Linked DNA regions of Mus musculus: all the other regions are reported to be linked to region 1. The links are microRNA targets in miRTarBase. Many come from high-throughput screens and were not tested one by one. Region 1 holds a microRNA gene; each other region holds the end of a gene's coding sequence. Distances are from middle to middle.

The links. The annotated mature microRNA mmu-miR-804 reads UGUGAGUUGUUCCUCACCUGGA and lies in region 1 at 4,157-4,178, shown strand. An mRNA with a match to its seed (bases 2 to 7 or 8) in the 3' UTR can be bound and repressed. Matches are read on the target gene's strand: a 7mer-m8 pairs with bases 2 to 8, a 7mer-A1 pairs with bases 2 to 7 and ends in A, and an 8mer does both.
Region 2: miRTarBase lists Pnpla3 as a target of mmu-miR-804. Seed matches in the 3' UTR shown: 7mer-m8 at 1,625-1,631.
Region 3: miRTarBase lists Pex13 as a target of mmu-miR-804. Seed matches in the 3' UTR shown: 7mer-m8 at 3,409-3,415.
Region 4: miRTarBase lists Tigd3 as a target of mmu-miR-804. Seed matches in the 3' UTR shown: 7mer-m8 at 5,969-5,975.

Annotation. Positions count from the first base shown.
Region 1 is chr11:50,353,921-50,361,976 of GRCm38, reverse strand. It overlaps Mir804 (microRNA 804), which reads left to right and starts at 4,098; the gene lies at 4,098-4,192. Cby3 (chibby family member 3) reads right to left here and starts at 4,216. Exons shown (of 2, transcript NM_029691.1): 1 at 4,174-4,216; 2 at 2,275-2,937. The coding sequence starts at 2,723. The coding sequence ends at 2,301.
Region 2 is chr15:84,185,525-84,191,758 of GRCm38, forward strand. Pnpla3 (patatin-like phospholipase domain containing 3) reads left to right here. Exons shown (of 8, transcript NM_054088.3): 8 at 453-3,997. The coding sequence ends at 561. Among named protein-coding and RNA genes, the nearest start is that of Samm50, 3.6 kb to the right of the region's middle.
Region 3 is chr11:23,643,947-23,652,002 of GRCm38, forward strand. It overlaps Pex13 (peroxisomal biogenesis factor 13), which reads right to left. Exons shown (of 4, transcript NM_023651.5): 3 at 6,984-7,109; 4 at 3,337-5,644. The coding sequence ends at 5,346. Among named protein-coding and RNA genes, the nearest start is that of 0610010F05Rik, 14 kb to the left of the region's middle.
Region 4 is chr19:5,885,354-5,893,409 of GRCm38, forward strand. Tigd3 (tigger transposable element derived 3) reads right to left here. Exons shown (of 2, transcript NM_001362045.1): 2 at 5,785-7,764. The coding sequence starts at 7,747. The coding sequence ends at 6,335. Slc25a45 (solute carrier family 25, member 45) reads left to right here. Exons shown (of 6, transcript NM_134154.4): 6 at 1-415. Among named protein-coding and RNA genes, the nearest start is that of Tigd3, 4.7 kb to the right of the region's middle.

The sequences.
Region 1 (8,056 bases):
TGGTGACATTTAACCAAGAGTGAGCCCAGACTTGACTTCTCTGCTTGGTTTTTCCTGTGTATCCTGTGTCAGTGCTCCTGTGTGTTTCCTAATACAGTGCGTTGCTCTTCCTTTAAAAAAGGAGAAGAAGGAGGAGGAGGAGGAGGAGGAGGAGGAGAAGGAGGAGGAGGAGGAGGAGGAGGAGGAGGAGGAAGAGAAGGAGAAGGAGAAGGAGAAGGAGAAGGAGAAGGAGAAGGAGAAGGAGAAGGAGAAGGAGAAGGAGAAGGAGAAGAAGAAGAAAGATTCAGAGTGGCTGGGCAGAAAAGGAGAGGTGGGTCTTTAGATTGCATGGGCCAGGGACAGGAGAGAGAGAAGAGAGTTGGAGGCAGGAGGATCAGATTTAAGAGCTGCAGGACAGAAAGCATCCAATGATGTAGGTGGAAAGGAAATGCTGCCTTATGGGGGTGGGGCTGCCCAGAAGGTAACAGGGCAGCAAAGATAAAGTAAGATTTAGAAGGTGTTAGTCCTGGGACTGGAGAGATGGCTCAGTGGTTAAGAGCATCGACTGCTCTTCTGAAGGTCCTGAGTTCAAATCCCAGCAACCACATGATGGCTCACAATCATTCATAGTGAGATCTGATGCCCTCTTCTGCTGCATCTGAAGACAGCTACAGTGTACTTAGGTATAATAATAAATAAGTCTTAAAAAAAAAAGGAGGTGTTAAGCCAGGAATCCTGAGGAGAAATGTATGTTAGTCACAGCCATGGGGAGGATTAGAAATGTCCAGCCTTTGAGCTAGTCAAGGCATATCAAAGTTAGCTGGCTTATGTGTGTTCCAGAGAGCTTTTGGTCAAGTATGCCAGGAGCCAAAGTGGTTTAACTAATTCACTGCTACACACAACCATCCCTAACTCCAGTTTCAGGGATTCTGATGACCTCAGAGGGCACGGGACAATTATATGGTGCACACACATGTAGGCAAAACATAAAGCAAAATTTCATAAAATACAAAACAATAAAAAAAATTATATACTCCTGGGTCCCAGGTATTTCAGAAAAGGGGTCCTCAAATCCATTCTGAATTAAGCTCCTGTGTGTGTGTGTGTGTGTGTGTGTGTGTGTGTATTTGAGGCAAGGACTTATTCTGTAGCTCAGGCTGGCCTGCAACTATGTAGACCTGTCTAGTCTTGAATTTAAGACAATCCTCCTGCTTCAGACTTCCAGGCGCTACCTGGGATTACAGGTGCAAACACATGTATGCAGTGTTCCACTCTGCAAAGCACTCTTTACCACTGACCATTTTTTTTTCTGGCCCTTGCTCCAATCTCAGCTGCTACCTGCTACCTGAGCTGGCAGGCAGGTTGAACTGTAGAGTGCTTGTCTGTAGACAGAGGCTCTGGTCCCATGACCTCTGCTTTCTGAGTTCACCACCCACTGTGGGTCTTTCCTACAAGGGATGTGCATTTGGTCACTAAAGAAGAGCCCCCCCACCCCGCCCCCAAAGAGTCAAATACACAAATACCGTGACTCAGCCTCTCCTGGGTATTATCAGCTCTTCTACAACATCCAGTATACTAGAAACATGTTTAAGTAGTTATTTGCTATTGGGTGTGGTGACACATCATTTTTATCAGAAAAAAATGGCAGTGGAGAAAGACAGGTGGATATTATGAGTTCCAGTCTGGTATACCTAACCCCATCTCTAAAATGAATTATAGTCCTGGAGTTTGAACATAGGGCCTTGTATAAATTAGACAAGTGCTCTAACACTGAGCTATGTCTCACTTTCCTGAGACACACTCACACACACACCATCTCACACATATATGCTATGTGTGGCCCCAATGCTTTTTTTTTTTTTTTTTTTTTTTTTAGTTTCTCTGTGTTGCTTTTGCTGGCCTGGAATTAGGTCTATAGAGGCTAGCTTCAAACTCCAGAGATCTGCCTGCCTCTGCTTCCCGAGTGCTTGGATTAAAGGCGTGCGCCACCCCTTCCTATACATTTTTTTTTTTTAATGCTGGGTCAAACAGAAGTCTTTATTCCACGTATGATAAAATCACAGTCTTCGCCAATAGAAAACAAAACAAAGAGTGTGGGAAAGCAGAACCTAAGGTTTGGAGAAAAATCCAAGCGCCCTCTCCCGCACTGCCCAAGCGTCTCACGCGCTTTAACTCCCCCTCCTACTTATCTCTGCCACACGCAGCTCCACCCAAGGAAAACCCGGATGCTCAAGGGAAGTGGACCACCCGGGCCACCAGGGCGGGGCGGGGCAAGGCGAGGCGCGTACTCGCGGCCCTGCTTTAGGTACAACTTTATTGCATCACCGCGACTCCAGAGCGCGCGGCTGGATTATAAGTACTCCCGCGCCCCTTTGCTTGGGCATCTTTCTCTTCCAGGAGCGCGCCGGGGCCGCAGGGTTGTTATCCGCGTCCACCTTCTTCTCCAGCAGTTGCATGCGCGCCGTAGTCTCTGTTAGCATGTCCATGAGCAGTTCTTGCTGCAGCTTCAGGTAGTTATTCTCTTCCAGCAGCACCTGGCTCTTAATCGGCTGCACTTGTGGCTTCCAGGCCGGGATGGTGGAGGAGGGCAGAGGCGTGCGCGCGCTTGCGCGCTTCCCCTCTGGGGTCCAGCGGCCGCCGCGGAAAACGAAGGCCTCGTCGCTCAGTCGGGTGCGCGGCTCGCCGTAGTTGAGCCCCAGTTCGGCCTGTCGCGTGCGGTGGTCCAGCAGATAGAAGGTGGACATGGATGAGATATGGCGCAGCGGTGGCCTCCGCGGCGAGAAGCGGCGCGAGAAGTGGTCGACCCAGAATTGCCTCACCTGTTTCCACAGGCGGCCCGCTTGGCTCGCCGCCAGGCACTCAAAGGCCTCCAGGGTGAAGGTGGTGTGGGCCACGCGGGGCGCGCGGGTGTCTGGAACCCTGATGTTCTGGAATGGTGAAGGCGAGCCAGTGGCACTGCTGGAAAGCAAATGGCCTGTGAGCGGCCTGCTCAGGCTAGACTCTGCAGTTGTAGGCTAGTAGGGGAGCCCATTCCTGCATAGTCACACCAGCCGTGTTCACCAAAATTACCTCCCCGGGACCCTTTATCTAGGATGTAGGTGTGTAAGAGATAATGTAGGGCTGGGCAGTGATGGCACATGCCTTTAATCCCAGCACTTGGGAGGCAGAAGCAGGTGGATTTCTGAGTTCGAGGCCAGCCTGGTCTACAAAGTGAGTTCCAGGACAGCTAGGGCTACACAGAGAAACCCTATCTCGAAAAACAAACAAAAAAAGAGATAATGTAAAGGCCCAGAAACCACGTTCTCTGAAATGCTGGAAGAGACCACAGGTAGGGGGCCACAAGTAGAGATCAGTAGCCAAGCAAGTAGGACAGGCCTTTTCTTGCTGACAGCTGTGAGGCAAAGGGCTGTCATGTTCCAGATGCATGAAAGAGCCGACAAATAGGATTGGTTCCGAGAATAGCAGAAACGTAGGCTAGAAAGGTGAGCCAGAGGGCATTTTTCGGTACAGTACAGGGAAATTGAACATTGTGGTTGTCATTCTTTAAGGGAGGCTGCTGATGGCTGCAAAGTCAGGGTTAGTGTGAACTCGGCAGAGCATCTGTCTGGTGAGATGTCTAGCACATTCTAGCACTGGCACCTGCTCCATGCCAGGTCTGGCCTGCACAGAGGATACCACAAGCACAGCCTTTGTCTATCCTCAAGATGTTCCTGGTCCAGCTGGAAAGGCGTGTATTAACATCCAGTGTAATCAATGACATCATAGGACAGACAGGTAGGTGCCTTAGCCTAGACCCATACTTAGCTTTCAAGTAACTAGAATGCTGCACACTAGAGTTAACTTTTGTTCCTAGCCAACTACTGATAGGAATCTAAAGCCCAGATAACTACCAGAACCCATCTTACTTGCTTCCTAACTCTTCTCACAACACCTATAAAGTGCTGATTCTACAGTGTGGTTTTTCAAATACCTCTCCTGCCATCGAGGGCAGGAGTGAAAACTGCTGTCGGGTTTCCTTTGCCACACCTTCATTAAACCCAACAGAATTGTGCAGGTGGGCAGAGACAGGTGTTCTCCCCCACCCCCTGATTTAACTCATGGAGCGAGTCTCTGGAAGTCCCTACACATCCATCTTTGAGGTTACAACTTCCCCAGTAGACTGTTTCCTGACATTCCTTGTGAGTTGTTCCTCACCTGGAAGATGTGGTGGCGGTGCCCAAGCTGCTGTCCCAGGCCTGGCCCCATTTCTGGGTTATGGCACCCACCTGTCTGCCAGCTGTGACTCACAATGCCTCCCTGCCAGGCCTCCTAGGGTAGAGGTGGTGTAGACAGTGAAGTGTGTTCAGTTACGGGAAGTTTCCGGAGCATTGACTGTGCTCCAGGCACTGTTCTGGGGGAGGGAAGACGTTCAATCATAAAATCGCACCCCTCATTTTGTTTAAATCTTTGTTTTGATTTAGGTCCTTTTGAGACAGGATAGCCCAGGTTACCCTGTAGCCCAGGCTAGTAAGAATCCTCCTGAGCCAGTCAGTGGCAGCAGGTGGGTTTCAAGAGTTCGAGGCCAGCCTGGTTCAAGGCTGCCAGGGCTACACAGAGAAACCCTATCTGGAAAAACAAAACAAAACAACAACAAAGGGATCTGCCTGCTTCCTGCCTTAGCCTTCCAGCCGGATTATAATCATATGTTTCTGGCTTCTATGTGGAAGGTGGGAGTATGGGTAGTGTGACCTCTGGCCAAAAGCTAACCTCCAGTATCTTCTTGATCACTCTTCACCTTACTTGTTTGTTTACTTATTATAAACATAAAGGCAGGGTATCTTTATGGAGTCCTGGCTATCCTGGAACTAGCTCTGTAGACCAGGCTGGCCTCAGACTCACAGAGATCCACTTGCTCTGCCTTAGAGTGCTGAGATCAAAAGTGCACCAACCTGCCTGGTCTTCCACCCTATTTTTTGAGTCAGAGTCTCACTGAACCTGGAGTTAGCAGAGTCAAAAGGCCAGCTGGCCAAAAAGCTGTAGGGATCTTCTACCCCCACCTTTGCCAGGGAAGTGTCTTCTTGGAGTTGTAGTGACATCAAAGGTGAGAGAGAGCTCCCAGAGATGCACTCTGTGAACAAGGTGGGAGTTGGGTACCACTCGACTTCTGGCCAGCTATGAAAGTCATGTGTTGTATTAATGAAGATAGGGCAGAGGGATCTTACTCATTCTGTCTCTCCCTTAAGTTCCAGACAGACATTGCTGTACCCTGCAGATTGTGTGTGTCAGTGTCCCGTGTCAGCACTGGGGTTAGAGATGCAGGCTGCCACACTCACTCAATCCCATGAGAACTGGGGTTCTGCACTCAGGGTCTCAGGCTTGTGCAGCAGGCCCCTCCCTCACTGAGCCATCTCAGGCCCCTTACTTGGGTTTTTGGAGACCTGATCTCACTTTGTTAGCCTAAGCTGGCTCAAATCTCCTAGGCCTAAGTGATCCTCCTCCCATCTTAGTCTCCTGAGCAGCTCCAGCCTATAGGCTGTGGCACACAGTACCTTAAGCCAACATTCTTGGCAATGGGGTGGATGGGAGGTGAGCATAAGGAATCTGGTATTGCTCTAGAACACATGTAGATTGCCCTCCAGGAATTTTAGTGCAACCTTAGTCCAGAGTGTAGCAATGGAAACTTTTGGGGGCAGATTGAGCCCAGGGCTTCCTGCATGATATTTGTATACTCTTCCAGTAACTTTTTAATTTTTTTCAAATCCTACTTTTAATGATTTTTTTAAAGATTAATTACTATACATAAGTACACTGTAACTGACTTCAGACACACCAGAAGAGAGTGTCAGATCCCATTACAGATGGTTGTGAGCCACCATGCGGTTGCTGGGAATTGAACTCAGGACCTTTGGAAGAGCAATCAGTGCTCTTACCCTCTGAGCCATCTCGCCGGCCCTTAATGGTGGTTCTTAAATGCTTTAACCTCCCTTGTAGCCCACCACCCACCAGAAGTAGTGGGAAAGAAAGGATTCGGGAGAAGTGGACTTGTTTAGAAAGGTTCTTTGGAGCCACTCCCATCTGGGTTGTCAGGAAATCAGCAGTTCAGTTCACTGGTCAGCAGCGGCAGCTCGATCCACTCACAAACACTTCACAATACACCAGCAGTCTAGTTTGGTGGAATGAGGATAGCAAACACGAATCGGGCATGACCTAGCAGAGACAGCCAGGCCTCAGCCTCTGCTTGAGTCAGCAGGAGGGACAAAGAGGAAAACCAGTTCTTGGCTATGCCTCTCTCAGGGAAGTGAAGATGAGGGCAGACTCAAGACCCACAAGCATTGCACAACTAGCTCTGTAAGCAACCTAGCTAAGCCTCTGTCACTGCTAAGTCTTACTTATCTCCTCCAAACATCACGTGTCCTCCACAGGTCTTGCCTCAGCATGTGTCTTGCCACAACAGATATCACTCTGCCAATCAGCCCAAGGCCAGGGAAGTGGCAAGAAACTGCAGCACACTACCAGAAGTTTTATGGTGCATTTCTCTCTATGGAGTCCCAACAGATGTAGCTCAGCTACACAGTGTGAGGCTAACAATACATGTATGTTGTTAGCAAAGAACCCACCACATGTCCTTTCATGTGCTTGGTTTAGGAGAACATTCTTTTACCTGTGTCTGCTTTAGCTAAATGTTCCTTCACGAGTCTGGAGTCTGCCTTGGTCTTTTATCTGTGTCCACTTTGGGAAAACATTCCTTCACATATTTGCCCCAGCAAAACACCATCCAACTGACTTTCCAAAGAACCCTTCAGTTTCCAAATCAACTCTCCTACAGAGCTACCCTACTGGAACCTTTAAATGGATATGCCCAGTGAAAGCAATGAGGGCCCTGGGGCTACTACACGGACAAGAGATTGCTGCTGGGCTTGAGTGCTTAGTTCCAGAAAAACTGGCTTACAGAGTGAGCCCGGTAGGCCCTGAGGGCTTATATGCAGTTAATGGTTGATGGGGTAGCCGCTGGTTAATGTTCCAATGCTCCTGTAAATAAATTACCCATGTTCCTGTTAGCAGCCCTAATGATTTTTTTGATTTGAGCTTGCACAGGTTCCTGGTCTCTTCTTTCCCCTCCCCTCCCCCAATACCAAATAACATACAGTGTGAAATTAGAAGAGAGGCTAGTTGGAAAGAGGAAGATGATTAGCGATTGTGATGAAGAGAGGGTAAGGGGGTAAATAAGATGGAAATACACTATGTGCGTCTATGAATAAGTCAGGATGAACCCCTTTATGTATAATTGACACATACTACTGAAAAGCAGTAACATGAATGCCGGGCATGGTGGGCCCCTAACTATTTCAGCAGTTAGGAGGCTGAGGTCAGAGGATAACTCTTCAGTTCAAGGTCAGCCTGAGCTATAGAGTGAGTTCTAGATCAGCCTGGGGTAGAGTTAGACTGCCTTAAAAATGCAGGGGAGAGGGAGAGAAGAGAGGGAAGAAGCTTGAAATAGCTTTTCTGTGTGGTCTCTCCTCTTGAGCCCCTACCATCTACCATCTTGCTGTCTGCCATGTTATATTGCAGCCAGGAAGACCTCATCAGGACCAGAAGATATCAGCACCATTCTTCTGGACCCTTCAGTTGTGAGCCAAAGAATTCTGTCTCTGTTTTTAAAAAATGATGCATGTATGTGTGTCTGTGGAGTTTATGCATGTGAGTACAGTGCTCAAGGAGGCCAGAAGAGGGCATCAGATCCCTGCCTGCAGTTACAGGTAATTGTGAGCTGACCTTTGCTGTGCTAGAAATCAAACTCAGGTTCTCCACAAGATCTGCACATCCTCTTTACAAAGCCCCATCTCATGTGTGGAAACAGAAAACAGAGTGGTACAGGGGGTTACTAGATAATCCCTCATAACATGGCGTCACATAGCAGGTCCTTGAGAGCACAATGTCTGATGAAAATTCCTGAGTGGTTTTGAGGGTTGTTCTCTCAGGAAAAAAGATAGGAGGACAGGCTTAACACTAAAGGGAGACTGATGTGAGTGGAGATGCCCTTTAGTCTGATCCCATGGGTGACTCAGCACAGACTGCATCAAGAGGAGAGCTGGAGGCT
Region 2 (6,234 bases), not on the chromosome of region 1:
TGTACATATATCTGCATCTGTGTTTCTATGTGAAGTATACATGCATGGTGTCTGTTATGAAAAATAACACAGGATTAAAGGGCCACCTGGAGGGCCCATGCCAAGGTGTCTCCCTGAGAAATCCCACCATGTGACAGACCTGGCTGGTATAAGGGAGGTCTATTGTGGGGCAAGGGAGGGGAGACAGAAAGGGGGAGACAGAGACAGGGAGGCTGGCAGGGAACATGTGGGGACAGAGAAAGAGAGAGAGAATAAGAAAGGGGAGATAGAGAAGGGGACCGGGGTAACATGGTCCTCTTACAAGCTCCCAGGCCACCCACACCTGGTGGCAGCTCAGGTAGCAATGGAGGCAGGTGATGACCTAAGCTGTTGCTAGGTCTCTGTTGTTAGGTCCCTGGGAGGAAACCAGAATCACCTGTAAGCCAATAGTGTCCTTGGCTTCCTTCCCACAGGCTGGTGACATGGCTCCCTGATATCCAGGATGATATCCAGTGGCTACAATGGGCGACATCCCAGGTTTGTGCCCGAATGACGATGTGCCTGCTCCCCTCTACCAGGTAAATACTTGGGCCCAGGGTGTGTGGGCCAGATAGGCATCCCTCCCGGTTGTTCCCAGAGCTCTTAGGGTCAGAGCTTGGGTGGTGACAGCCTTAACAAGCCAGGCTCAGCCGCCTGTCCCCAGCATGCCATTAAAGAAACCGGTAGCAGAGAAAGCAGGTTTATTCGAATATAAAAAGGTTCAAGCCCCCACCCGGTTAATCTTTAAGATACCAACAGGAGGCTTAAGTTTAAACAGAGTTACACATAAACAGTCTGAATCAGGGCGTGGTCCTGCCCACCATTGTCTGGGCTTCAAGGTTCCTTCTTTCTCTCCCTAGCATGAGATTCCTGGGACAATCCCAATTCCTTGGCCTCCATTGTATCAAAGGGCTGAAAACCAAAGGGAAGGCACAGCTGTCTCTTCAGCATGCCTCTTCTGCCAGAACCACTGCAAGGTTTGGTGCTCAGGCTGTGCAAACATTCTAGCAATGTTTGACTCAGTGTCAAGCAGGTGACAAGGAACATGGTGCTGTGTGGGGGGAACCCATGGCCCAGGTGAGGGCTTATTGGTGGGTGAAGCTGTGGGTGTTCAGGTGGTGGAGAAGGCCTTAAGGGATGGGACTGACACCTCAGCACTGAAGGCAGGAGGAAGCTGTGGCTCTGGGTTGCACCCCTGCCTGGCTCCACCCTCTCTGGCATCTGTAGAAGTTACAGCTGGTTCTTCCTCTCAGCCCCATGCTCCCAGAAATAAGACTCAGACCCAAATTATAGTTACAAATACCTTGGCCATATAGCTAGGCTCTTCTCAGACTAGCTCATAACTTAACTCATTAATTTTAACCTCCATCCTGCCACATGGCTGGTGGCCTGTGCTCAGGTACCATGAGTCCAGCTCTTCACATCTTTCCGGATGAATCTTCCATAATTCTTTCTGCCTCCTGGATGTTCCACCTTCTATTCCACCTTTTCCTATAGGCCATGGTTTTGTTTTTGTTTTTTTTTTCCAAATTTAATTTAATTAATTAATTTATTTATTTTTGGTTTTTCGAGACAGGGTTTCTCTGTATCGCCCTGGCTGTCCTGGAACTCACTATGTAAGCCAGGCTGGCCTCAAACTCAGAAATCCGCCTGCCTCTGCCTCCTGAGTGCTGGGATTAAAGGCGTGCGCAACCATGCCCGGTGTGGTTTTTTTTTTTTTTTAATTGACAGGTGGATGCATCTATATAATCCATAACATATTCTCTCTACAGGTATCTATTAGGTTTTGGGTGAGGTGTGGAGTTCTAGGGAACTCTGAGAGAAATTCCTGGGGAGTAAGTGGTTTATCAAGTTGATTGGAGGAGTTTTTAATGCTATGGACAGACAGACAGAAGGACAACAGCATAGTCGGGGCTACCAGGGAGTTCAGGCCCCGGCATCGGAGATAGAAGCAGGATGGGGTCTTTGAAGAGATTCTGAGCCCACACAGCAGAGGAGGGACTCTCTCTTTAGAGCTTTTGAGGATGAGGGAGGTTGACTGCAAGAGCCTACAGCCAGGCTCGAGGCAGGCAGGGGGTGGGGAGCAGGATGTAAACCCCTTCGATGCTGACAGACTCACTTCTGGGGTAAAATATTATGAGATGCCTGTCAGTGTCTGTGAAGAGACCTGAGCAGAGTCTGGATTCTGACATCAATCATGTTCTTACAATACTGAAGACCTGAGAGCCTGCAATCTTGGTTTGTAAATTGCTGGTCTCCGTGCTTCCAGTGAACTTGGACATTCTTCTCATGGTTGGTCCAGGAGAGGCCAAAGCTGAGGGCACCCTGCCTTCCACCCCCAGTCCAGCTTGACCTTTTATCTGGAGCAACAGTGTCTAGATGATGGGTGGGTGAGGGGTGCTATACTGTCTGTCCCTCTGGGAAGGGTTCTGTTACTTTTGGAGGCAGCTAGGAAGTTTCTCTGTGCAGCTGCCCCCTGGTGCTGTGTGGTGACCTCATTGCCTGTGACCCCAGGATCACAGGATCTGGGCTAAAGTGGTAGTCCATAGAAACCAAAGACAATGATTTGGTGTTTAGAAAGCTACTCTTGGTCTGGGTGAAGTCTGGTGCTTAAGGGCTATCACAAAGAGCGTGTCAAACCATCTCTCAGCCTGTGAGTCAGTGGGGAGCCCAAGGGCATCAGTGTTTGGAAACTGGAATCCAAACCGGGCAATCTCGGAAGGAAACTGTTTAGGAATTGTGATGGGACGGGCCGTGGCTGTCTCTGAAAAGGGCCTGCCAGATAACTTATTACTTTTAAGGACACCTTTGGCTCTTACTAATTTATAAAGCATTTTATATAAACACACCAGGGAGTGCATGGTGAACTACACGTATGATCAGTTAAGTGGGGCTAGAATTAGGTAGGGAGAGCATCGGACCTCTGCCTCCTCAACCTCAACTTGCTTGCTTTCTCCACTGGCTCCAAATCTTTGTATAGTCATCAGCCATGACCACCTCTCTCCCTCCCCATCTACTACCAGCAGCGTTAATGGGAATAAGTACCCACTTCTCTCAGGTGTACTATACAGCTGTGGGTGTGGTGTGTGTTTCCTGTAATTCACACTTTAGAAAGGAAACAAGCAAACAAAAGAAACCAGGTGCTGCCCATACTCCTAAGTGTAGACAGTGAAGGTGTGTGTCTCCCATGCCTGAGTCTCCTGGAGGCCTAGTGAGCTCCAGGTTCATGCAAGCACATCAGGAGGAATCATATAATCTCAGCACGGTTGATCCAGATGGGATAAGAAAGGACTCTGGGAGAGAGAATGTGGTTCTAGAGACAAAGTGTCTAGGCTACACAGAAGATAAGACTGTCCCAAGGAAAGAAAAGAAACCAGGAACTAGGGTGCAGCTCAGTTGTCAGAGGACTTCTCTAGGCTTGAAGCCCAGAGTCCAATCTCAGCACCTTATAAACTGTGGAGTGACAGGCAGTGACATCGGCCTGTAATCCCAACACTCAAGCAGTAGAGGCAAGAGGATCATAAGTTCAAGGTCTTCCTTGGCTATTTAGGGAGTTGGAGGTTAGCTCTGGCTACATGAGACCCTGTCTCAAAAAAAAAAAAAAAAAAAAGTAGAAACTTCTGCCTTGCTTTGAGCTGCCCCTTTCTGGACGTTTCTCATCAGTAGAGAATATTCCTGCCACCCTATCAGACAAAACTCCCACTGGTTTGGAGTCTCTCCATTCTCAGGAACACCTCAGGAGTCAGACAGTGAGCAGCAGGGAGCAATGTCTTGACTTGTAAGCCCCTTAGCAAGGCTGGTTCATTTGTTTATTAAAAGCAGGTGTGGGTGAATTTATGCAAATGAGTATGCAAACTAGTGGAACAGCAGAAGGATTGAATGGATACACCAAAAATAACCACAACTGTTTAAGGGAAAAGGGTCCATAATAAATGTGGGGAACAAAAAACAAATAAATGTGATTTTTTTTAGAAAAATGTATTCTCTGTCTCTTCTGCCTCTCCTACAACTAAAAGGGCCTGTGGGACAGCTTCCTCTATAAGTTTGTGTTCTTCCCTGTAGGCGTGCAGGCTGAATGTCCTCCACACTGCAAAATGACTGGGTTGGTGCTGTATAGCCCCGGCTGGTCTGGAACTATGTAGTTCAGGCTCACCTGCTTTTTCCATTCTCCTGCCTCAGCCTTCCCAGTACCATGTTCACACACAACCACATCAGCTTGGAATGTGCATTTCTAGGAAGCGTTGGGAAAGGACAATGGCATAGTCTCCAGAACCACTGAGGGAAAAGTCTGGAGCAAATAACTGTGACAAAGGGCTGGGTGCGCATGTGACTCTCTCTGGCCACAGGTGAGGCCAGCCCTGAAGATGACAGGAGCACTCAGGCATCCAACACACAGGGATAACCCGAACACAAGCTTGGATCATGGGCAGTGTTCAAGGCTTCAATTTTCCCCAGTGTAACACCAACAAGGGGGTAGGGCAGGGATCGTTTACTGATGAAGAACTACACTTCCCAGCTTCCCCTCTGATGGACTACATTTCCCAGTCTCCTCTTGTGAACTAGTAAGTCATTTCTACCTCTATAGAGGGCTTCTCCTGTGGCCATTTTGGCCACCTGCATGTGTGGGTGACAAAACGCTCCCTCATTGTTAATAAACATGATCCTACCTAAGGTCAGACCAAGGCTTGCTCTGTCTTCTCTCCCTCTACAACTGCTTTTTAAATAATCTAACAGGGAGAACATATGAGGGCTAAAGGTATGTTTTAAGTTTAAATTACTGTGCTTAAGAGACCTATATAAAAAAAAAGCCTCTAACCTGTAAGTCCCACTTGGCCCAGGACAGATAACTTCCTGGATTGCTGGAGGCTGTTGTCCACGTAAGATAACTTCTGCAAACAAGCTTGGTGGCCCCAACTGCACAGGATGTGATGACCACATATAGGTGAGAGGTATACTTGCCTCCAGTGGATGAAGGCAGAAAGTACATAGCCTTGTGGGCTTTGCCTTTGTAAGCAATTTGATGCCATAGTCTGGGAATTCTGGGTATGGACCTAGCTAGTGTCTATTGTCCTGGCCATTATTTATTAAAGCTCACTTCAAATTTGTCTCAAAAATTGTGACAATGGTCCTATTCCTGACCAGTGGCACTAACAGACATTGTATGTGCATGATGGGAGAATGATTCTGGGCCCTTAGGGCTTTTTTGTTTTGTTTGCTTGAGACAGGGTCTCTCTGTGTAGCCCAGGCTGTGCTGGGGCCATCTATGTAGACCAGGCTGCCCTCACCCAGCTCTGTCTTTGGGAAGGAAAGTAGCTAAGTACCCTAGATTGCGTTAGGATAGGAACATAGCAATTATTCATGAATCCCTGCATGGTGTCAGGCTCAGATTCACGGGAACATGGGCCCCATCTTTGCAGATGCTTAACGAGAAAAAGGTCAGGAGTGTCCCGGAAGGAGGGGATGGAAAAGGAAGCTAGGCTTCAGTGGTCAAGTGCAGTGGTGTCAGGTTGACTGCAGGTCAGAGGACAGGAACCCCACTCTATCTTTAGTAAACTGCAGTTCAGAGCTACCAGTGGCTTTTATTACATTATTCTTTTGAGGCACAGTAACTGTTTCTGCTACCAAAACACAAACGCACAGCTGTCTTTTTTGTTTATGTAACCGTCCTCACCTGAACACTCAAGAGAGCTCCATTCATCTTTTAAAAAATATGAATCTGGGGCTGGTGAGATGGCTGAACGGTTAAGCGTGTCAACTGCTCTTCCAAAGGTCCTGAGTTCAAATCCCAGCAACCACATGGTGGCTTACAACCATCCGTAACGAAATCTGATGCTCTCTTCTGGAGTGTCTGAAGACAGCTACAGTGTACTTACATATAATAAATAAATAAGTATTTTTTAAAAATATGAATGTGGGTGGTGGTGGTCCATGCACCTTTAATTCCAGCACTTGGAGGCCAGGGGCAGATGGAGCTCAGTGAGTTCGAGGCCAGCCTGGTCTACAGAGCAAGTTCCAGGACACTCGGGCCTACACAGGAAAAACCTTTAAATGAAATATAATGTCGCCAGGCAGTGGTGGCGCACGCCTTTAATCCTAGCACTTGGGAGACAGGCAGGCGGATTTCTGAGTTCGAGGCCAGCCTGGTCTACAGAGTGAGTTCCAGGACAGCCAGGGCTACACAGAGAAACCCTGTCTCATAAATAAGTAAATACATAA
Region 3 (8,056 bases), 27 Mb from region 1:
ATCTGGAATAACAAAAAACCTAGGATAGAAAAAACTATTCTCAATGATAAAAGAGCCTCTGGTGGAATCACTATTCCTAACCTCAAGCTGTACTACAGAGCAACTGTGATAAAAAAAACTGCATGGTACTGGTACAGGGGCAGGTAGGTTGATCAATGGAATAGAATTGAAGACCCAGAAATGATCCCACACACCAATGGTCACTTGATCTTTGACAAAGGAGCTAACCATCCATTGGAAAGAAGACAGCATTTTCAACAAATGATACTGGATCAACTGGCAGTTAGCATGTAGAAGAATGCGAATTGGTTCATCCTTATCTCCTTATACAAAGCTCAAGTCTAAGTGGATCAAGGAACTCCACATAAAACCAGAGACACTGAAACTTATAGAGGAGAAAGTGGGGAAGAGCCTTGAAGATATGGGCACAGGGGAAAAATTCCTGAACATACAGCAATGGCTTGTGCTGTAAGATTGAGAATCAACAAATGGGACCTCATAAAACTGCAAAGCTTCTGTAAGGCAAGACACTGTCAATAAGACAAAAAGGCCACAAACAGATTGGGAGAGAATCTTTACCAATCCTAAATCAGATAGGGGACTAATATCCAATATATATAAAGAACCCAAGAAGTTGGACTCCAGAAAGTCAAATAACTCTATTAAAAGATGGGGTACAGAGCTAAACAAAGAATTCTCAACTGAGGAATACCAAATGGCTGAGAAGCACCTGAAAAAATGTTCAACATTCTTAATTATCAGGGAAATGCAAATCAAAACCACCCTGAGATTCCACCTCACACCAGTCAGAATGGCTAACATCAAAGTTTCAGGTGACAGCCGATGCTGGAGAGGATGTGGAGAAAGAGGAACACTCCCCCATTGTTAGTGGGATTGCAAGCTTGTACAACCACTCTGGAAGTCAGTCTGGCGGTTCCTCAGAAAATTGGACATAGTACTACCGGAGGATCCCACAATACCTCTCCTGGGCATATATCCAGAAGATGTTCCAACTTGTAAAAAGGACACATGCTCCACTATGTTCATAGCAGCCTTATTTATAATAGCCAGAAGCTGGAAAGAACCCCGATGTCCCTCAACAGAGGAATGGATACAGAAAATATGGTACATTTACACAATGGAGTACTACTCAGCTATTAAAAACAATGAATCCATGAAATTCTTAGACAAATGGGTGGATCTGGAAGACATCATTCTACGTGAGGTAACCCAATCTCAAAAGAATACCCATGATATGCACTCACTGAGAAGTGGATATTATCCCAGAAGCTCAGAATACCCAAGATACAATTTGCAAAACACATGAAACTCAAGAAGAAGGAAGACCAAAGTGTGTATACTTCGTTCCTTCTTAGAAAGGGCAACAAAATACCCATGGAAGGAGCTACAGAGACAAAGTTCAGATGACATCTAGAAACTGCCCACCTGGGGATCCATCCCATCAACAACCACCAAATCCAGACACTATTGCCGATGCCAACAAGAGCTTGCTGACAGAAGCCTGACATAGCTGAGAGGCTCTGCCAGTGCCTGACAAATACAGAAGTCGATGCTCACAGTCATCCATTAGATGGAGCACAAGGTCCCCAATGAAGGAGCCAGAGAAAGTACCCAAGGAGCTGAAGGGATTTGTAGGTCCCTAGGAAGAACAACAATGCGAACTAGCCAGTAACCCCAGAGGTCCCTGGGACTAAACCACCAATCAAAGAAAACATACTGAGGGACCCATGGCTCTCTAGCTGCATATGTAGCTGAGGATGGCCTAGTCGGTTATCAATGGGAGACGGGCCCTTGGTCTTGTGTAGGTTCTATGCCCCAGGATAGGGAATGCCTGGGCCAGGAAGTGGGAGTGGGTGGGTTGGGGAGCAGGGGGAGTGGGTAGAGGATAGGGGATTTTTGGAGGGGAAACTAGGAAAGGGGATAACATTTAAAATGTAAAAAAAAGAAAATATCTAATAAAAAAGAAAAGAAAAAAGGAAGATGATGGAAATAAAAGAAAATAAACAAATGACATACAGTGTTGCAGACTACAGAAAAATCACATGTGATTAAGAACTTAATTATCATACTTAGGACACGTTTCTTTGAGAAACTCCCCAGTTTTCTTTTGAAAAACAAGTCTTTACCATCTACTGAGTTTAAACTACAATTGAACAATAAAAGAAACACTCTTCATAACAGCACAGAGAGGAACACTCAGGCAGTCATGTTGTACTTTGTGAAGCATCTATGGTAAAGTATTTCTGTTGCAACTATAATGCATTGTACAGACTTCTGTGAAATGTGCTGGTGAAATACAGTAAAGTAACGCCAGCGTTGTAAAGAAAATATCAGGATGTTTGATCTTACTTACTGCATTTAGACCATGACGTCTGTTGTGAGAAACAGTCTTGTTTTCTTCTTAAACACAGTGATATCGCCTAACGTGTTTAATCAGAGTGTACAAGTGAAAAGAAACACTCTTCTGGTTCTTAGCACAGGAGAAATACACACGCATTCAGGCTGTACTTTGTTTTGTGTAGCATCTTTGATAAAGTACTTTTCCTCCAGCTATAACGTAGAATCTTCTGTGAAATGTACACGTGAAAATACGGTAAAGTCATAGTGTTACAAACCAAAGAAAATCACATACCATTAATAACTCACTTATCACATTTAGAACATGACATCTATTTGTTAGAAGAGTTCTTTGGTTCTTCTTATAAACACCCCTTTACCACTTAATGCGTTTTAACTAACAGTACATGTGAACACTAAAAGAAACACTCTTCTTGTTATTAGCAGAGAGAGGAACATGCATGCATTCACATTGTACTGTGCTTTGTGTGGAGTATATGTTATGGTTCTGTTGCAGCTATAATCTTAAAAAAAGAAATTAAGTTTCAAATATTTTTAATTCTCCAGTAAAGTATTTTCACAACCTATTAAAAATACAAATTTAACTGTATTTCATTTCTTTTTCCAGTAAAGACAGCATAAAATAAAGAGCCGCTGCACTCAGGTAAATGAATAATTGGCTAAGACTTGAGTAAGATGTAGAACATGAAAATGCATTTATAGTCCTTTAATCTTTTTCTTCCCAAGCTGACAAAATACAATTAAAGCTTCTGATATCTAGTTTCTTACTGTAGCTTATGAATTATTTAATTGAAAGTGTAGTTTCCTGTGATGTAATGCTACTTCAGGAAGTCCCTAAAATTATATTGGAGCTGTGACCAATCTATTCATTTACTCTAAACCACAAAACTTTCTGCCACTCTAGTCCTACAACTGTTTTTCTAAGACTTTAATAAAGAATGGACACAGGCCGAGCGGTGGTGGCGCATGCCTTTAATCCCAGCACTTGGGAGGCAGATTTCTGAGTTCGAAGCCAGTCTGGTCTACAAAGTGAGTTCCAGGACAGCCAGGCCTATACAGAGAAACCCTGTCTTGAAACAAACAAACAAACAAACAAACAAACAAATAAAAAAGAATGGACACAGGTAGTTATTAGGTTAATACTATATAATCTAGCATAGACAGCCAAACAATAAAGACCCTAAAAGAAAGTTTTATCATTTATTTGTCTAAGCTCTTTCCTATACAACTGAAATATTAGTCACAAATCCTATTTTAAAGCTCATCTTCTAAAACAAAACAACACCCCAAACCTAAATAGTGCTGACTCAACATTTTATTTCTACTTTACTCCTAGTGCTTAGTCTAGATGTCTGGAGTAACATTTAGACATGAGAAAAGTTCAGGCATCTCAAGTCAGAAGTAAATATTTGTTAAAACCTTTGAGAGTCAGGGCCATGCCTCAGTGGTAGATTATTCAACCCCCTTTCTCAACTGAAAAGTTACTACTGAATGTCAGAAAAATCAGCCTAAAAGATAAATGAGTACCGTAAATGCTTCTCTCTATCTTAAGATGAAAAGATACATTACTTATTATATTGTCATTTCAAAAAAGGGCTTCCTAGGAAGTCTTTAGTGCTTCTGTTCTGAGCAGATATTGGGTTAGACATGGTTTAATATGAACTCCTCCAGAATTATTTATTTGATAAACCTATCTATATGAAAGAAGCAAAACCCAAATCACTTTTTATCAAAACCCACAGCTGTTAGTAGTGTCTATAAATGAATTCTGTGATTTATTTCTGACAGTTCTAATCTGTAGTATATTCACAGCAAGCGTATAAAGCTTCCAATTCTATGGGGAAACACATAAAATTCACTATTAAGCAAAAAAAAACAACCAAACAAAAAGTCATCGTATTTGAAATAGCAAGCAAATTATAGTCTCAGTAGTGAAAACCACAAGAAATCTATCCAATGTGACAGACATATTTCAGTTACCTTGGGTTTTTTTGGTCCTTTTGTTATTTTGTGTTTTTCTTTCCAGAGCTGAGGACCGAACCCAGGGCCTTGCAAGCAAGCGCTCTACCACTGAGCTAAATCCCCAACCCCGACAGACATATTTCAAATATTTAATGTATAACCTGATTTTGGAATTTACAAAAGTAATTATCTTATATAGAAGCAGAAAATTCAGGATTAAAAATCATTACTGCCAGAATTGATTATATCATTAAGTATAATCTTAAAGGACTCCTGCCTTAGTTGGAGGAAAAGAACAAAAATCCATATATTGTGACTCGCTCAGGATGAGATCTAGCTATATATTGTGACTCGCTCAGGATGAGATCTGTGACACTGTAAGGAGGTTAAGAAGCTGTCAGTCAGAACCATCTTCTTCACAGTGCTCCAGTGACCTCTTAAGAACACACTTTTATAAATACAATAAAAGATAATACTATCAATTATTTGCTGGTAAAAACACATCACCTAAAGTAAATTCAACACTGGACATAATACAGATGAGAAAATTTTTATTATTTAGTTTATTTATAAGGTTAAAAAAATTAGCCTTTTGTCTGTTCTTATAAGTAGATGTTATCACTCAATTTTTGAAGACTTCAAGTCAACTAACTCAGAACTTTAAGAAGCGTTAATGATCCCTTCTGAGGCAGCTTGTGTGTTCTACTGTTCATCAAATTTACTGTTCCAATAAGCCTAGGGACTGAGATAAGATGGAGCTGACAACTATCTCCATAATCTTAAAAACTAGGTGAAACAAATGTCCTCGTGGTCCACAAGACAGTCAAGTGTAGACAGATCACTTGACTAGCAGCTAGCGTGTGACTACATAACTTCTAGCAGCAGAACACTCGGCACAGCCACGAGCAAATGCTTTCATTCAACTGCAAATTAATTTCTCTGTAAGAAATGATTTTTTAAAATACTCTAAAATATTGTTCACCTGCCCACAAACATGAAACACATCAAAGATCTTGTTTGTCTCCATTTTTCCCTGTAGAATCAGGTGCACTGGAAACCTTATTAGTTTCAACAAAAACAGATTCAAAGGCAGCTTCCTGTTCATCCAAAGGATTGGTGGTAGTGACTCCTTTAATTAATGTTGGGTTGGTAAAAGACTGTTGTTGCTTGAGCATTGTACTCGATTCTATTGTTTTTCTGCCTCTTCTTTTACCAAGAATTTTGACATAATTTGCAGGTATAAGTCCTGTTGTTTGACCGTCAAGACTAGCCAGAAGCCAACCACGCACTTTGGGTTGTTGTTCTGAAGAAAGAGAAAGACAGCTTTTAAGTACATTTTGGAATCCAACAGAATATTAATGATAATGTATGTTAAGCAAAATCAGAGCCTTCTGATAAAGCTGTCTCCCGAGGAGCTCCACCAGTGCCTGACAAATACAGAGGTGGATGCTCTCAGCCAACCATTGGACTGAGCACAGGGTCCCCAATGGAGAAACTAGAGAAAGGACCCAAGGAGCTGAAGGGGTTTGCAGCCCTATAGGAGGAACAACAATATGAACCAACCAGTACTCCCAGAGCTCCCAGGGACTAAACCACCAACCAAAGAGTACACATGGAGGGACCCACAGCTGCAGCCGCATATGCAGCAGAGGATGGCCTTGTCGATCATCAATGGAAGGAGAGGTCCTTGGTCCTGTGAAGGCTTGATGCCCCAGTGTAGGGGAATGCCAAGGCCAGGAAGCAGGAGTGGGTGGATTGCTGAGTGGGGGAGGGAGAAGGGGATGAGGGTTTTCGAAGGGGAAACCAGGAAAGGGGATAACATTTGAAATGTAAATAAAGAGAATATTTAATTTAAAAAAATCAGTCTCACAGTGAGATTATGTTAAGGAATAGTATGTGCACACACACTCAAAAGCAAATACTAGCACACTTAATTAGTGGTCTAGATCCATTTTTCTTTTAAAGTAAAGAGATGGAATCTCAGTTACCCAAGTTGGCAATCCTCCTGCTTTTGCCTCCTAAGTAGTAGGGACAATAGATATGTATCTAGCTTCAGTTTCATTCTTAAATTTATCGTAAATAAAATATAACATATAGTAAAAATACAGTATTATAAGTATATGTTATACTTACTTAATAGTCCTGCCTTGAAATGTCTTTCAGATTTTAAATTAGAATCTGAGAAAATACTTTAAGTATTGTATATTGTACTGGGATTAACAGAGCTTGGAAGTCAAGGGTTTGAATTTAGAAGAGATTATACAGGGAAGTGTTGTTCTAACACTCTGGGGTATTTTCTCTGACTTTACTGTGTTTTGACACAGGGACTCATAATAGTGGGAAGAGCAAGGGGGTCAGCAAGGGTGGGAGGGGACAAGAGGGTAATGGGGTCAGTGGAGGTTAACACTTGTGATCCTAGCATTTGGAAGGCTAAGGGAGGGCTGCCATAAGTTTGAAGCCAGCCTGGGCTACACAGTGAGACCCCATCTCAATCTCATCTGGAAAAAAAAAAAGACAAAAGCAAAACTCAGGTAACCATCTGCATGTTAGCCAGTGAGCAGGGTCCTTTGTTTCAGTTTCAAATAGTACCTTTACAATTATTAAAAACTCAAGATAATTACAACTTATTTGTGATTTGTTACCTTTGAGGGCTAAATTTAGCATATCACCAGCACGGAAAGAAATTTCTTCATCAGACACGGCAACAAAATCGTACTCTGCTCTTGCAACTACGTGGTCATCCTCACCACTTGCCCAGTTGGTGTTGTCTATAAACAAAATCAGTGGTTGGTTAATAAAGTTTGCAAAATGAGCTGCATAAATCCACTTGCCAAGTGGACAGGTCTCCCTTCCTAAGTAACTTCCTTCAGAAGGAACACTGTGGATGGGCAAGCTTACTATTGTAGGAACTATCATACTATCATATCCCTGACAACCTTTTCCCTTTTCTTACCCTCTCTTACCCCCCCCCCCCAAAACAGGGTTTCTCTGTATAGCCCTGGAACTCACTTTGTAGACTAGGCTGGTCTCGAACTCAGAAATCCGATAGGCTAACAGTCTTAGAGACTGTGGATAAATTTCTTTGGCTGTTGTAGTAATTATCATCAATTAAGATTTCCTTCAATGGCTAGTAAATGAAACTTTGGTTGTAGTTTTTATTCCCTTTAATTTTGTGGGTGCAGTAGGCAATTTTTAGTTTTCTAAGTGTTGATTTCTGTGACTTCTGTTCAGTCTCGAAGCTATAATCATTTAACACAGCTATTGTGCCACTGCAGAAGGAGCATAGTACTTTACCAAAATTCATTGTACTGTGTCTTTTCAGTATAACTCCTCCTTTTCAGTTTTAGTGTGCTACGTATAACTTCTTTATGAAACTGTGACTGTGGTGTCTAAATATGCTGGGTCCATAGGGAATGATGTTAGGAGATGTGGCCTTGCTGGAGGTGTGTTACTGTGGGAGTGGGCTTTGGAGGTCTCTACCCACTGCACAAGAAAGCTTCTTTCTAGCTGCATGAGGATGTGAATCTTCTCCTGGTGGCCTTCAGATTGAGATGTAGAACTCTCAGCTCCTCCAGCCCCATGCCTGTCTGAATGCTGCCATGTTCCCACTATGATGATAATGGACTGAACCTGTGAAACTGTAAGCCAGCTCTAATTAAAGAGTTGTCTTGGTCATGGTTTTCACAGCAATGAAATCCTAACTAAGACTGACTTT
Region 4 (8,056 bases), not on the chromosome of region 1:
CTTCATGTCCAGAATCCTTCAGGGGTTTCCATTACCTTCAGGGAAACCCAGGTCCTAGGCTCCTGGCTGGCCTGCCCCACCAGGTGGCCTTCTCTTGGTTACTTCCTGGTGTAGGCCCTCAAGTCCCAGGAATGCCATGGGTGGTGTCATTGTCCTCCAGTGGCCCACTCTCCTCAAGATCCAGGCAGAGCTCTTCATTTAGGGGTCCTTCCAACCTCATCTGTGCTGATTATGGGGTACCCAAGCACCCCAGCCCTCCTGCCTACCTCAGTCATACCTCTGTGTGCAGTGCTTCATGGTTAGTTTTGTTTTGTTTTTCCTCCTTTGAGTAGTTAGTTTGTGCCAGTCTTGTGCTCAAGGCTGTACTTCTGTCCCTTGAACAGATACATGAAATAAAGTTTCATCTGATGCAGTACTGATGATCCCTTTCTGTCTCTGTTCCCATCCATCACACACAGCTGTGAGCCTTCCAACCCCCATGTCCATGCCCTGGCCCCTCTCCAAGTTGTCTCTTCCTCGATCACATCTTTCCTTACATTTGTCTGATTATCTATCTCAATTGCTAAATTAGATTTTAAAACTGCCTGAGGGGCTGGAGAGATAGCTCAGTGATTAAGATCACTGACTGCTCTTCCAGAGGAACCAGGTTCAAATCCCAACATCCACACGGCAGCCCACTCATCTGTAACTCTGAGGGATCTGATGCCATCTTCTGGCTTATATGGGAATTGCATGCACGTGGAGGCAAAAATACCCATACACACAAAATAATTTAAAAAAATATTTTGAGGGAGGGTTCAAGACAGGATTTCTCCATGAAATCCTGTAGCCATGGCTGTCCTGGAACTCACTCTGTAGTTCAGGCTGGCCTTGCGAGGGAGACCCACCAGACTATGCCTCTTGAGTACTGGAATTAAAGGCATTAACCCAGCATAAAAATATTAAAAACAAAAACCAACAACAATAGGGCTGGAGAGATGGCTCAGCAGGTAAGAGCACTGACTGCTCTTCCAAAGGTCCTGAATTCAAATCCCAGCAACCACATGGTGGCTCACAATCACCCGTAATGAGATCTGATGCCCTCTTCTGGAGTGTCTGAAGACAGCTACAGTGTACTTACATATAATAAATAAATATTTGCCAGCTTATGCCTCCTGAGTGCTGGATCAAATGTGTGTTCCTCCATTGCCTGGGTCTTAGCCAGTTTGGTGTGGTGGTGGTAGTTTGTTTGTTTTTTTTTTAATACTTTTTTTTTTCAAAGATTTATTTAAGTTCAAGGTCAGCCTGGTCTACAGAGTGAGTTCCAGGACAGGACAGTCAGGGCTACACAGAGAAACCCTGTCTCGAAAAACCATAAATAGCTAGCTAGCTAGACTGTATTCTTCCACAGCCTCTTGTTACTTTGAGCTCCTTCCCCACAGCAGAGGATGCCATAGACTTTTGCTCTTGATGATCGCCTTAGCCTACTTCTGCTGAACACATCCGGGTCTGCTGCAAGGATCTGCTCACGCTCTTCTCCCCGAGTTTGTAACTCCCCATCTTTCAGTTCTTGGCTCCTTCAAGACATCTGTTTCCCCCAGCTATGCCAACCAATGGTTCCAAAGCACCTGGAGGGTTTGTTCAAGTATTTTGCTGAGTCAAACCTTAGGGTTTGGGGAGGTTTGGGAGGGTAGGAGGATGTATATTTCCTTAAGGTTCCAGCTGCAGCTGTAGGCCACACACGGAGAACCACTAGACATGTTTTTCATGTCACCCCTCTTTCTTGGTCTGTAATTACACACTCCAAGTGTCTTTTCTGTATGATTCTGAGTATATCTGCCTCTCTAAACCAAGAACTCTGCCTTTAATCTTTAAAATGCCTATAAGCACTTAGGAGGCAGAGGAGGAGAATCTATGTGAGTTCCAGGCTAGCCTGGCCTACAAAAACCCTAAACCATGCATGGAGTAGACTTTACTCCTAGCTCCTTATCATCAAAGCTTAGTGGGCTGTCCAAGAAACAGTTCTGAGAGTCCAGGGACGCAGCTCAGGGGTAGAGTGCTTGTCACACAGAAAGCTCTGGATTGGTCCCCTTATCATGTACACGGGGCATGGTGACACACACCTATAATCCTAGCACTAGGTAGGTGGGGGCAAAAGGTCAGGTCAAGGTTTGTTAGATATCAAGTTCAAAGCCAGAATGGGTTACAAGAGACCATGACTCAGAAAAATAAAGTTTTACAAACATGCTTTAGGCTTGCTAACTGAGCAGGATGTGAGGTAACTTCCTAAAGTCTGAGAAATAGGGGACACGAGGCAAGGCTGTGGGGGTCAGGGCTGCCTCCTGGAGTTTAGCATACTAAACCTTGAATTCTTAGGCCTTGGGGAAACAACTTCTTCTTCTTCTTCTTCTTCTTCTTCTTCTTCTTCTTCTTCTTCTTCTTCTTCTTCTTCTTCTTCTTCTTCTTCTTCTTCTTCTTCTCCCTTTTTTGTTTTTTAAGATTTACTTATTTTATGAATGTGAGTACACTGTTGCTGTCTTCAGACACACCAGAAGAGGGCATCAGATCTCATTACAGATGGTTGTGACCCACCATGTGGTTGCTGGGATTTGAACTCAGGACCTCTGGAAGAAAAGTCAGTGCTCTTACCCACTGAGCCAACTCTCCAGCCTCCCAGCCTCCTCCTCCTTGTTTTTTTTTTGTTTTGTTTTGTTTTGTTTTGTTTTGTTTTTTTGAGACGTGGTTTCTCTGTGTAGCCCTGGCTGTCCAGAGACACTCTGTCACTCTGTCATTCTGTAGACCAGGCTGGCCTCGAACTCAGAAATCCGCCTGCCTCTGCCTCCCGAGTGCCTGGCATATTGCATCATCTTTATGTGCCCCCTTCTATTCAGAAGAAACAATTACACATTTTTCTAGAGATGAGCCACTGAGTGTTCCACAGGTTTAAGTTGGAAAGGTGAAGAATTCCCCAATACCCATGATGAAATGAGCAGAGTACCTAAACATATAGCCCCCTCTCTCCTTTCTTGCTGAGACAGAGTGTTACACCCAGCTCTGAGTAGACATCTTTCATGAAAAAGATACAGATAGCCAGCAAGAGCTGGACAAGGGGCTGGGCCAGGTGTTATGTGCCTTTAATCCCAGTTGGAGGCAAGGGCAGATCTGTGAGTCAAAGGCCAGCCTGGTTTACACAGTGAGTCCCAGGTCAGCAGCGGTACATGATGAGACTCTGCCTCAAAACAAGCACTAAAACCAACCAACCAACAAAAGAGCTGGGCAAGCCTGTACACATCTGTAATCCACCCTTCTGGATACACATCTGTAATCCACCCTTCTGGATACACATCTGTAATCCACCCTTCTGGATACACATCTGTAATCCACCCTTCTGGATACACATCTGTAATCCACCATTCTGGACACTGTCGGCAGACAAAAGTTGAAGGCTAAGGTGGGTTAAACACAAAGACGCAGGAATGTTAAATGACTTTGAGCATTATTAAGAGAAATGAGATGAAAAGTGCGATGGTACATTAATTATGTCACCTCTATTAGAACGGCTGTAATACAAAAGGCAAAAGATGAGCCGTGGAGAGGACCCAATGCTAAGAACACTGCTGCACACCCCTAACTCCATCCCTGGAAACCACAGAGAAATCCTGATGTGCTGGTGTGGATCTATGAACCAGCACTCCTACAGAGAGATGGGGAGCTGTGCTACAGAGACAGTTCATTGTTAGGAGCCTTTGTTGTGCCGGGCATGGTGGTGCATGCCATTAAGCCCAGCACTTGGGAGGGAGAGGCAGGCAGATTTCTAAAACCTTCCAAATCTTAAAAAAAAAAAAAATAAAAAATAAAAAAATAAAAAAAAGATAGAAGACAAAAGCAAAAGAATTTAGTGGTGTTGGTTTCATTGCCAACTGAATGAGTGACTAGCTGATCTGCACCTTATTCTCCTACACGGCACACTTGCATCTGTCCTCTGAGACTTCTCTCTCCACTCACCGGGAGAACACAGTTCAGCAGTTCAGCTCCGAGTGCCACCATAACACTGGCCATGAAACAGACAAGAGCTACAGGGTATCTGCCAATATAAACAAGTTTCCCGTGTAATGAATGACCTGGTCATAGGTCAAAATACTAGACCTCAAATGGCTCCCAGGTAAGTGTTCCATACAGTGTGTGTAATATACCCATACTGCAAACACCTACAGCTAACCACTGCTAACACAGGGTTACTATGTCCAATTTACTGGGGGGATCTCAGAACATCTCACCTCCACATATGCCACACCCAGGGGTGCTCCCTCACCCCCAGTTGGCCCATGCTTACTTCCTTTGGTTTGCTATCCTTTCCACTTTTCTCTCTATTCAGGGCTCCAATATCAAAACTCATCACAGGCTGGTGAGACAGCTCAGCAGGTAAAAGCGCTTCCCACAAAAACCTGGAGACCTGAGTTTGATTCCCAGAACCCACATAGAGGAGAAAGGAGAGAGCCAAGTCCACAAAGCTGTCTTCTGACCTACATTTGTGCATGGTAGCAAGTGTGCACGTGTGTGTGCTTCCCCCACCCCACATAAATAATAAATAAAAATTAAAAAGAAAACCAAGGTTGGGCATGGTGGCATACACAATTTTTTTTTTAAGGATTTATTTATTATATGTAAGTACACTGTAGCTGTCCTCAGACACACCAGAAGAGGGCATCAGATATTATTACGGATGGTTGTGAGCCACCATGTGGTTGCTAGGATTTGAACTGAGGACCTCTGGAAGAGCAGTCAGTGCTCTTAACCACTGAGCCATCTCTCCAGCCCCGATGGCACACACCTTTAATCCCAGCACTCAGAAGGTAGAAGCAGGTGGAACTCCAAGAATTTAAGGCCAGCCTGCTCTACATAGTGAGATCCTGTCTCAAAACCAGAACGCTATCACCATACAAACAACAGCAAAACCAGCTCACCTCTACTGGGTTTCACTGGGCTTTGTAGGGCCAAAGCATTCTGCACTTGCCTGTCATTGCTTTCTGGTCCTGCTTTGCAGGGATGTCACCTTTGCAATCTTGCCACATAGGATATCATGATAAAAGGAACTGTGGTAAAATGAATAAATGGATGAAAAGTGTAGTGAATGAATGATTATTCCAGAGCTCATTGCCCTGTCCTGTCCTGCCCTGCCCTGCTGCTGGCCACTACACCACACAGTCTGATGCTGAAGTGGTAAGAACTGCAAAGGTCTGAGTCGCCCTGAGACCTTTCTTCAAGTTTTCTTCTTGTAAGCACGGTCCGTGTATGAAGGGTTCTTCCTGATAGAAAGACTTCACCCTTCTCTCATGTAAGCCATGCTTTGAGGAGGCGGGGGGGGGGGGGGGAAACTCAGTAGGCATAGCACTAGCTCAGTATGCTCAAAGCCCTGGGTTAAGTTTAATACAGAGGGCTGGTGAGATGGCTCAGTGGGTAAGAGCACCCAGCTGCTCTTCCAAAGGTCCGGAGTTCAAATCCCAGCAACCACATGGTGGCTCACAACCATCTGTAACAAGATCTGACGCCCTCTTCTGGAGTGTCTGAAGACAGCTACAGTGTACTTACATATAATAAATAAATAAATCTTAAAAAAAAAAGTTTAATACAGAGTATCACATAAACCCCCATAATCCTGGCCCTAGAGGGGAAGGCAAGCAGACGTGCAAAATCATCTTCAGTCATAGGGCAAGTTCAAGGTCAACCCAGGCTATACAAGATTACATTCCAGAAAGAAAGAAAGGAAGGAAGGAAGGAAGGAAGGAAGAAAGGTCCTCCACATCCTGACTTTGTGGCTAAAAACTTTATTTCCTGAAGCAGAATTGGTTTTGACACAAAAATTCAAGGAATGGGGCCACTGTTAGGAAGTCTGTCCATGCTGTGCGATGGTGGTGCACACCTTTAATCCCAGCACTTGGGAGGCAGAGGCAGGCGGGTTTCTGAGTTCAAGGCCAGCCTGGTCTACAAAGTGAGTTCCAGGAAAGCCAGGGCTACACAGAGAAACCCTGTCTCAAAGAAAAAAAAAAAACAAAAAACAAAAAAAGGAAGTCGGTCCACCTTTCTAGGTTCTACCCTATTTAGACTAACTCTCCACAAAGCTCTAGAAGTTTCTCCAGGGCCTAGAAGCTACACAGCCCAGCTTTCCACTCTTGAGGCCCCATCCGTAGAAACTCTAGGCCTGAACAACTTTTACTCTGACCTTAGACTTTGTGTTCCAACTTCCTTCCCTTCTACACCCTCCACATACTATTTCCACAGGAAAGAGCCAGTCTGTCTCTGGAGAGGCGTTTCCATGGGAAACAGGAGAGGGAGACTAATAGGCAGCTATGCCTCCTCACAGACAGCAGAGCTGCTCCACCTCCACCTCACAGTCATAGAATTTCTCAAAGAGTTCTGGAGAGGCACTGTTGCATTCAAGCCACCTCCTCAGGGTGCACAGTGCCTGCAGGGCATCGGCTTTGGTGGGCAGGGGCTCAAAGCCATCTTCTTCCCTCCCACTGTCTTCAGTACCCGTCTCCTCTTTGCACACTCTAGGCCCTGGGTCCTCATCCTCCAGGTCCACAAAGTGAGAAAACTCCTCTTGGCTCAGCCCACTAGGGACTGGTGACATCTCAGTGTCTTTGTCCAGGGACAGTGGTGTTTTGCCCGGAGCGAGCCCTTCTTGAACAAAGCTGCTCAAAATGAGCTGGCGAGGTACCTTGGCCCAAGCTGCGGCCACCATGTGCAGAGCATCCAAAACTGTGATGCTAGCCCTGGCCTCCGCCAGGGAGGTGCCCTCTTTCCCACTCTGCATGGCAGCCAGTTTGCTCAGTAGACGGTGACGGTAATGGGCCTTAAAGGCCAAAATCACAGAGCCAGGCAGGGAAGGAGTGGTGCTGGAGGCAGAGAGAGGCAGGAGTCGAACGTGATGGAGTCCAGGAAGGCTGGCCCATTCCTCTACCACTCCAGAAGCCAGTAGCAAGGCTACCTGTCGGCCCTGCTGTCCCATGTCCTGGTCAAACTGTGCCAGCCACTCTGACCAGGGAATGGCTAGGTCAGGGTGATAAGAGGTAGGCAGTGCCTCACTGCTCACCCCAAAGAAGCATCTTGGGGCCGCCTGGAGCCCACCCACAAATACCCTTCGCTTTTCTGTGCCTCTGCTGTTGGCACATAACAGTACTTGCAACCGATCACATTCAAACACTCTGCCAGGCACCGCGCGATACAACAAGGGTACTTCAGCACAGCCAAAAACATCTTCTGGTGAGAAGTCTTTAAGAGAAAGAGGTGGCTGGGCCTGAGATGGGAGAACTGCAGGAGGAGCTTCAGGAGGGAACAGAGGGACAAGGACCTGGCGAGTCCCAAAGCCCACATTGTTTCGACGTTTCCAGCGGACCAGCCAGCCAATGCTAGGCACGAAATCCTGGCCCATGATATCGGCCAGTTCCTTGGCCTTGTGGAGCAACATGGGCCCCGTTACATCCCAGGCCTTGGCTCGGGCAATGTGGTACCAGCACAGTAGAGCCTCATCGATCCCACTGTATTTGGATTCACGCTTCCGCTTCCGCTCGTGGTTGGCTGTGCCACTGCACCAGTCTGCCAACAGCTTCTCCTTATTCTTGCAGATCCGTGAGATCTGGGGCTGTGAGACCTGGAAGCGCCGGGCCACCTCTGACTGGGACATCTTAGACTCATCCAAGAGTTCCAGCACCTGGATCTTCTCAGCCAGGGACAGGGCGTGAAGCTTCTTCTTGGTGTTCAGCTCCATGACTCCCTGGGAAGCTGCTGGGGGAAGAAAAGTAGGAGAGCGTGCCAATGGCTGAGAGCAAGAAGAACAGAAGAGGTCGGGACCCCTGAAGCCAGAGCAATTCTCTGGAATGCAGAAAGCTGGAGGAGACCAGGCCAGCTGAAAGAGACATGAGATGGCCAGGCTGTGGGAGGAGAGGGCTAGACCCAGAAGAGAGCTGGCAGAGTCGAGTGTTTCTGGTCCGAAGTGGAGAGAATTCTGGGCTGGGGTTTGGTATTGATGGGGTGGAAGGATGAATAGAGGCTAAAGCACAGCTGTAAAGACAACCAG